Linked DNA regions of Oryza sativa Japonica Group. The protein of the gene in region 2 interacts with the protein of the main gene of each other region in a pairwise test. Links are inferred from orthologs where the notes say so. Each region holds a gene or a part of one and is shown on either strand. Other genes may lie near its edges.

Region 1 (4,496 bases), on a different chromosome or scaffold from region 2:
CCTCGCAGGCTCCGGCTTCGTAGGCTGTGTGGGTTGTGTTGGCTCTGAGATTCGATGATCTATGCCCTCCCCGGGGGGTCCCTTTTATATCGCAGGTCTGGAGCTCTCCGAGTAGGACTCAAACATACCAGACCCAATACAATACGTAGGTAACCCAGTTCAGTCCGAGAAGGACTCTTCCCGTCTATTGATTTCGTGAAAAGTTTCCTTAGATCATAAAGGAAATATCCGCGTACGCGTGGGTATGCCATGTCGATACGTAATGTATATCAAAGGGTAGAGGGTATGCCTGACCCGTAACCCTGACAGAGATCTTAATCATTCAATTGCAAATTGAGTCACAATCTATCTTGTTCTTGCTTGTGTTCTTCGATTCGCATATAGGGATTAGCCTTCTTGGCGAGATAATCGGGTTTCGGTACGATTGATAACCAGAAAGACGTGGTGTCGCGATTGCAGGATTTGGATTGTGTTGATCGAAAGCCGGATTGTATGTGTCAAGTTTCTACCAAATCGAAAGCTATCCATATCTATCAGAAGATCGAAACCTAGTTCCTCATCAAATGGGGAAATTTGGATATTTTGATTGGCTTTAAGATTCACGCAGAAGGGGGAGTGGGAAAAATAGCAACATTGCACAACCGACGGGAGTGAACCCACGACCTCCAACTTCATGTGCGCGTGCCTCCCCGCTAAACTAAACTCCTTGTTTTGAATTTTTTTATGCATGTTACATACTAGTTATATGTAATTATAATGTAGTTATAATGTAATTATATTAAGTTGTACTATAGTTACATTTGAAAATTTTTCAATAAAAGAAACTTAAGGCGGTTTTTAGAATGTTTCGTTCATGCATTGTATTGCTTAAGCCTTCTAAACCTAGGTAACGAGTGCTTCGTTGAATTCTGGTTCCTTATGCGTCTAATTTGGTTTTATTTATTAAATATGCATCTCTTTTGATTTATTAATATGAGTTTGCTTTGGTCGAATTGTGAATTAGTACAAGTTGATTTTTAAAATGTTTAGAATTTAACATTTTAATAATTTTAGATTTCTTTCACTATTTTCACTTCTGGCCCTCTTTGCATAATTTAATAGGCTAAAATTATCTTTAAGAATCAACCTTTAAAATTCCAAAACTTTACAATATAACTTTCTTTATCGTATCTTATATATTCTTTACCTTTATATTAAAAAGCGTACCTATAATTTATAAACCAGTTTCTCCACTTATAATCGAAAACATATCGCCGCCCCAGTTCCATCAAATTCACTACGTCGCCAATTTTTTTCTCTTCATTATGAAAACAAATCAAGAGTGAATTTAAGTTTAGCTTACGAAATAAATCGTGGAACAAGAAAAACAACCCAAACACGCCCAAGGTCAGTGCTGTAATTTCTCTTTCCTGATCCGACCGGTCGCAGGCGCAGCGCACGTCTCCTCCTCCTTGCGACCTCGTCGAGTCCACCACCAACCTCGCCGCCGCTGCTACAGCCGTCGTCTCCCACCGCACGCCCCGCCCCGCCCCCCACCCATCGCCGGCGACGCGGATCCCTCCTCGACGGTGCGCCCGCCTGAGCAGCCGTGCTATACCTCTGTCGGGGGCATATTCCCCGCCGGCGCAGCAAGCTGAGCGGAGAGGAGGATGCCGAAGCGGACGACGCACACGTACTCCAGCGAGGACGCCCTGCCGGAGGGGCCCGAGTCCGACCTCTTCGTCTACTACTGCAAGCACTGCGCCTCCCACGTCCTCATCACCGGTCAGCTTCTTTCCCCCTCCCTCCTGTTCGTTTCCCCTTTTGGGGAATTCCCCTTCTTGTTCGCCCAAGAGCTCAGGTTGCTAAATTTTACCAGATCCGTGTTACTCTTCTGGATTAGTTCTATGTTACACTAGTATACAGCTCAGCATTCAGTGGGAAATCTTTAGGTGTAGTTTTGATCTAATCATTGCGAATTACTCACAAGCATGAGCAGCACAGGCACAGCGAGCATAGGATTTCACCTTCTAGAGAATTCATGTTCTTTGTGTGGGTTCTAGCTTGCAGATTTTCACGCTTGCTTATATTACAACGATGAACGAACAAATCTGGTCTTGTTTCTCTGCATATAGTATATGTTGTTTACAAGTATACTTGAAACCACCTACCATTTTGGGATCAAATAAAATTGTTATGTATGCATACCAATTGTTGTTTGATAAGAACTGTAGACCTGTTTCTGTAGCAAACTTGTGATATAGGCCCACATACAGTAGTGCATTTATCCGAGCTCACCAGAATCAGTTTTTAGTGTTCTGCATGGTGTGTTGGTATTGTTTTGTACAACAGAATGTGGGAGTCAGAAAACCAGAGGCTGGGCTATCCATGTAGATTAGTCTCCTATTTCTACGAAGGAATTATTCATTGATGTTAGTGGTTATTTTGTCTTTTACCCTAGGCCTTGCTTGTGAACTTTTGTTCAATCTGAATGTCTTATGTTAATCTCCATTTCATGAAACTTGTCCAGAATTAAACCAAAAAACTTTAGAGATGCAGAGTGTTTGCAAGGGTGACTGCGTATTGTATTCTTCCTTTGGTTAGTGATTTGGGTAGATTTTGCTGTTATGCTATTGACTGGAATCTGAGCCCTAATCCTAAAGATATGCCATTTGAAGATGATTGTTACGTAAACAAGTGAAATTAGGTCTGTTTTGCACGACATAATGATCTAATTGATAGCAAGTAGGTTACATGGGACCAATTATAGTGCTTCAGTTCTGCTAGGTCAGCAGCATACTTGGTAGTCTATGATAATTCTTGTTTTTTGGCAGCTCTAATCCACCAGAAAAATTTTCGAATTTCATTTGAACCCTGTTTGGTAAATGGGCTAAAACCTCTTTGGAATTAACTACACTAGATGTCCGGGGAACAACCATGTTAAGTTATTAGGCTCTTCATATCTTTTATCTATTCCTTTTGATTCAGCTCAATAACTGACTCAGAAGTTGAATCTAATCCTTCAATCATGCCAACAACAATGTGGTGGATTTGGGTTCTGTTTCCTGATTTTCGTTTCTTAGAGAATTAGCCAAAGCTACTATCTGCAAGCCTACCACCTTGTTATATGAATGCCATTTGTAACTGTTGCAACTCTATCTTCAACTGGAGGGATTGTGCTTTATGACATATTGAGTCATTCTATTTAGTTGCTAACCTGCCAAAGGATATTTGGGATCACAAAATTAATTGCCGTGCTATATAATGCTCACCATTTTTTAAGTTTAAGGAACATGATTTTGTATTTAGTATCTATTGTTGAGACTGTAACTGTCTGGAAATTTCCCCATTCTGATGTGTTTATTCTAAAGATACCCAATTGCAGAAAATGCCAAAGAGGAAGACTGACAGAGCACATGTACTAGACAAGAAAAAACATCTCTCAAGGCTAAATGTGAAGGAGGCAGGAAAGGTCCTGTTGAAACGGTATATTAGTCATCCTATGAATCTTTTCTTAGTCTTAGAGGAAAACACCATTCAGTTTCTTAGATATTCTTGCATTATTTATAGATATTAAGTGGCTGTTTGGTTGGTTACCTGGGACATGCCTGAGATGGACCTGAACTTCTGATAAATATTCCTGGCCTTAGTTTGTGAGGATTGTTGGAGATTGTACTCGAGTGAAGAATAGAAAAGCAAAATCACATTTTTCGGTAGAGAAAGTTAAAATTTAGAATACACAATACAGTTTAAAACATACCAAATACTAGAATAACATCCTTTGCCTCAAAAAATAAAGGAGAAGAAAAAACGTCTGGAACTCTGGATTAGCTTGGTCCCATCCTACCACAAGAGATAATGCTGATGAGCTGAACCTGTCTGTATATTGACTATGCCATGGCAGCGATCGCTTCTCAATAGATCTAGTGTCACTCTGGCTGGGTTCTACATGGCCTGTACCATGCCTCTGCTTCCAGGCTTTTGAGCTCAGGCTGCCACCAACAGATCTTATGTTATGTGTACCGTGATTGTAATCTTCTTCATATTGAGTTCAACTCCTGGTGATTACTCATCCAATTATCAGGTATTATGAACTGCAAAATTCAGTGCTACAAGTTCTTTTCTAGAAGAAAGCACAGTACTGCTTCTTAACACAGTGTGTCTGTGCACAGTTTTGCCTGACTTAACACCATAACAATAGATTTTGTTGCACACATTCTCCCTTCATTAATTTCTTAACTTCTAAACTTTTATAGGCATTCTGTTTTGTCATCACCATTTACAATTTTCATCACCATTTACAATTCTTATATGCCATATCTGGATCATTTTGGTTAATATAATTACTAGGTTGCACTCCAAACTTTGATGATTCTCTAATGTATGCAGGGGAGAAGGGAAGCTTGAAAAGCAGTTCCGTATGAGTTGTTTGGGATGCGGCCTTTTCGTTTGTTACCGATCAGAAGAGGAGTTGGAGCTAGCTCCATTCATATATGTTGTTGATGGAGCACTAAGCT
Region 2 (4,448 bases):
CTTTTAGAACGTGCAGGAATACTGTGTCCTTGTATTCAAAGTAAAAGGTTCAATGTTTCAATATATCCTAAGATACCTTACATCTTAGAAATAGCCTTAAACATTCTAACGATTCATCATTAACTACATTCTAATTAGAGAGGTGGAAACATGTATCTCTCAATGGGTTTGAAATTTAATCACTCCATCTGTTCTTACTTTACAACTAGCCCAGATCTGAAAGAGTTCCCTTTTCCTTTTAACACTTAAACATATGTGATGTGCTAAATGCAGGGATTAACGGTGAAGGAAATGGAAGAGCTGCGCGATGACATTAAGATGCATCTTGATCTGGACAGGGAAAGCCAAATAAATGTCAAATACTGGGAGGTGTGTCTTTGTCTCAACATTCATTATAATATTACCCTTTACTTGAATAATCATATGAATTCATATGACTGATGTGTATGTTGCATAATGTATATTCCTGTTGATTGAGGTTAGTACCAAATGGCATATAGTCCAAAACAGTAATGCTAAATTTTTGAGATTTTGATAATTATGTTTTGTTGGATCGATCTTTGGCAAAAATATTGTGCCGTAGTATGTCAGAACATATTTTTTAGCTTGTTGTATATATGGTTTGCCTATAGGCCGTAGGTTTTCACAAAAAAAAAACTAAATCAAGTTATTCCTAATATGACAGTAGGAACTAATAATTTCTGTGATTTCATGTTGCTCTCTTGATCTAATTAGCAAGGATGCTCAGGGCTGTTGACCAATTGTCCACTCTTTATTTCAAATTCATCAGGCACTCATGGTGGTATGTGACTGGGAGCTAGGTGAGGCTCGGAAAAGAGATGCCTTGGATCGGGCTAGGGTGCGTGGTGAGGAACCACCTCCTGATGTTCTTGCGGAAGAGAGGGGCTTACATGCAAGTATTGAGGGTGATGTAAAGGATCTTTTGGAGGGTAAGACTTCCACAGAACTAGAAGAGATGCAAAGTCAAATTGAGTCCCAAATGCGCTCTGGAACAGCAAAAGTTGTTGAATACTGGGAGGCCATTCTGAAACGCCTTCATATTTACAAAGCAAAGGTATGCCATGCTTGCAGACACTAAAAGACACTCTTCTTTTCTTCTTGTAGCAAATGTGATTCCATCCATATCACACTATCTTGGTTGTTTCATTTGCATTACACAAATAAAATGTGTTCTGGTATCTTGATTTGACCTTAGTTCTTGCATCATAATCAGATCCTGGTTTGGATTCTTATATGAACTTGTGAAACTGCTTTGCCTAACTTTCTGAATTTGCAGTTTATATGGTTGCCCGGTTTAAATAGTGTATAATAGGTGAAAGCTTACCTTTTTCTGCATTGCAGGCTTGCCTGAGGGAAATCCATGCTTCGATCTTACGGAAGCATCTACATCGTCTGGAGCATCCTGATTCCATTGAGCAGGATAAGGAATCTGAGGATGAAATCGATGCTAAAGAGAAGGATGCAACACATATTGACGATGATGATGATGATGATGATGAAGGTTTAGTTTTATTTCTGTATTTCCAGTCACTCAAATACTCCCTTCCATGCTGTAACTCTAGCGACTATGAGTTCTTATACCTACTTTATGTGTAGATGATAAGCGATATTCGCCTGAACCTATAGCGGAGCAAACAGAGAGTCATTTGGATGAAGAAGACGGATCCTTTTCTCCTGAGCTAATGCATGGCAATGAAGATGAAGATGCAATTGATCCTGAGGAGGACAAGGCAGAACTGGTAGTGTCCTCACTCCTGCTACACTTAGCTTTTAATACTGCCTCCGTTTCAGGTTATAAGACTTTCTAGTATTGTCCACATTCATATAGATGTTAATGAATCTGGGCACACATATATGTCTAGATTCATCAATATATATATATAAATGTGGGCAATGCTAGAAAGTCTTATAATATGAAACGGAGGAAGTAAATGCTAAGAAAATAGTGGTAGTTTTTATGTAGTGAAGTGAACTGCAATTGTTTTACAAATTGGCAGACTTACTATTTATTAGACACTATATTGTGCAAAAAGATGAACAAGCCAGTACAATTGTTTAGGTATCATATAGATCTTTTCTTAAGGCACCAACTGGATTCCCATTGACCCATTCATGTTTACCCTGAGAAAGGCCTTTTAGTTTCATCGTGTACCATAGTACACTTACGGTCATTTGTCAGTGTAAGGTGTTATTATTGGCTTATATATTGGAGTTTACATACATGAAATTTTTATCTCAATTCAGGATTACATCATTAGGTACATTCGTGAGTTGATTGCAGATTTTAAATGTTGGCAATTCATAGAATATTCCTATGCACTTTGAATTAATGTCCAGGATCGAAAACGTGAAGCTGTAGTTATGGAGCATCAAAAGAAAGTTCAGCAGGCCATCGCAGTGAAGACAAGAGTACCCGATGAGATGGAGATGAAAGCAATGAAAGCAATGGGAGCTATGGAGGAAGGAGATGCTGTGTTTGGTTCAGGAGCTGAAGTGAACCTTGATTCACAGGTAACATGAATTTTTTTATATCTAGAGAAACAGCAATGCTATCACTGTACCACCTTGCCTTCTAAACAGAACAGTATCTGATACCCATATTGCAATATTCTGTGTTGTAAAAACTTTGTGGTTGGAATGCTTTTACCAGAGTCCAGCTCTAACTCTGCATACTTTGGCAAGTTTTTAGCCCCTACAGAGCTCATAACCACCCATGTCTGGTAAAAGGTGGTCCTGTTGAATCATGAACCTTATGCAGGATAGCTTTACACTAATTTGTTCATTGAACAACCCTCTACAACATGGTCTGTCACAAAGACCTTCACTGCACTTGTTATTTCCTCATTTAACCCCAAGATCATTTGATCTGGATTGTGCACATAATATTAGCCCAAAGCAATATTGTGGAGGCTGGCTTGCTTTTACATGCTAGAAGATTTATTTAACAACTTAAGTGCATTGATCTGCTTCCAGTGAACTTGAATGCAAGCTGACTTTGTTTCTGATGAAAATATGCCTGTTTAATGTGCTCACAGGTATATTGGTGGCACGACAAGTATCGACCAAGAAAACCGAAGTACTTCAATCGGGTGCATACTGGATATGAGTGGAACAAATACAACCAGACTCACTATGACCACGACAACCCCCCACCGAAAATCGTCCAGGGCTACAAGTTCAATATATTTTACCCTGACCTGGTGGATAAATCAAAGGCGCCAACATACACGATAGAGAAAGACGGGAGCACCGGTGAGACATGCCTCATAAGATTCCATGCGGGCCCTCCATATGAGGATATAGTAAGCCTCTATTCCCATATCTTCAAATTTAATCCTGTAGAGTTTCATGGGCACTTCACTTAATTACTCTGTTTTCTTCACCAGGCTTTCCGTATTGTCAACAAGGAGTGGGAATACTCACATAAGAAGGGCTTCAAGTGCACATTCGAACGTGGGATTCTCCACCTCTATTTCAACTTCAAGCGCTACCGCTACAGGCGATAAAATGCCACGCAAGGAAGACGTTTTGATCTCCATTGTGCTGTTAGAAGTTGGTCTTGCTTTTCTTACCTGAGAGCCCTATGCAAATAGGTTTGCTCGGATACCAACTCTGGAGTCGACTACACATGCTCATCCGAGATCATATGTACTAAGTGAGAACAGGGTAGCATACTAGCATCCCGTACTTATGCTGATTAGGCTCTTTGTTAGCGGTTTGAAAATAGCAACGAAGTCTCCTGTGTACATTGTAACTTCCTTTTTTCTGCTTTGGAAATTGAGTTCAGATGTCAAAAATCAACACATCTTTTTGGTGGCAATCAAACTAATAGTGCGTATATCATTAAACTTCTTGTTTCTGGAACTAGCGAAAGTGTGGAGTACTTAGCACAACATCAGAAGGCATGACCAATTGACTTATAGCTAAAAATGTAATAGCTGTTTTTTTTTTGTTTTTTTTGTTTTGCTCCTACACAACTTTGTGCTATTAACAGGATCAGAGATGCAAAGTGGCAGTTGGTCCGAGGCTCCTAGCTCCGAACCACTATCAGTTTGCAGCTATTGGCCTCTACATCCATCTTCTACACAAGATTATAAGGACAAGAGATGATTTTAAAAATGGAAGGCAAGTATTCACTCAAAGTTTAGATGCCATTGGATGGTAGAATCTAAACTGCTTCTAAATAAGTTACCGCATACAAAAAATAAATTAACAGAGTCCCCTTTTTCACAAGTGAGGTTTGCTCACTTAGTTCCCTTCGCACTGGCAAACTACGACAGTGTGTAAATTTCAGAAGGGATATTAAAACAATTACCAATGCAGCAAAGGTAAATAGTGCAATGGGCAAAATTGAATTGATTCTGAGGACAGGATATCTCCAAAACCACTAGCCACTTTGGACTTGGTGGCTAATGGTCGGGTTTCTC

The links.
Region 1: the proteins of splicing factor Cactin (region 2) and UPF0235 protein At5g63440 interact in binary tests that used the Arabidopsis thaliana proteins (3 or more experiments, as listed by UniProt). The link is inferred for Oryza sativa Japonica Group from reciprocal best matches to the Arabidopsis thaliana genes AT1G03910 and AT5G63440.

The regions. Positions count from the first base shown.
Region 1 is NC_089041.1:11,606,250-11,610,745, reverse strand, and holds the start of UPF0235 protein At5g63440, read left to right. Parts: upstream 1-1,392; 5' UTR 1,393-1,649; coding exon 1,650-1,764; intron 1,765-3,350; coding exon 3,351-3,465; intron 3,466-4,368; coding exon 4,369-4,496. UniProt on the Arabidopsis thaliana protein: May play a role during early embryonic development. Probably involved in pre-mRNA splicing.
Region 2 is NC_089037.1:34,339,270-34,343,717, forward strand, and holds the end of splicing factor Cactin, read left to right. Parts: intron 1-273; coding exon 274-369; intron 370-790; coding exon 791-1,075; intron 1,076-1,362; coding exon 1,363-1,522; intron 1,523-1,617; coding exon 1,618-1,760; intron 1,761-2,358; coding exon 2,359-2,532; intron 2,533-3,056; coding exon 3,057-3,323; intron 3,324-3,407; coding exon 3,408-3,527; 3' UTR 3,528-3,869; downstream 3,870-4,448. UniProt on the Arabidopsis thaliana protein: Plays a role in pre-mRNA splicing by facilitating excision of a subset of introns. Required for embryogenesis.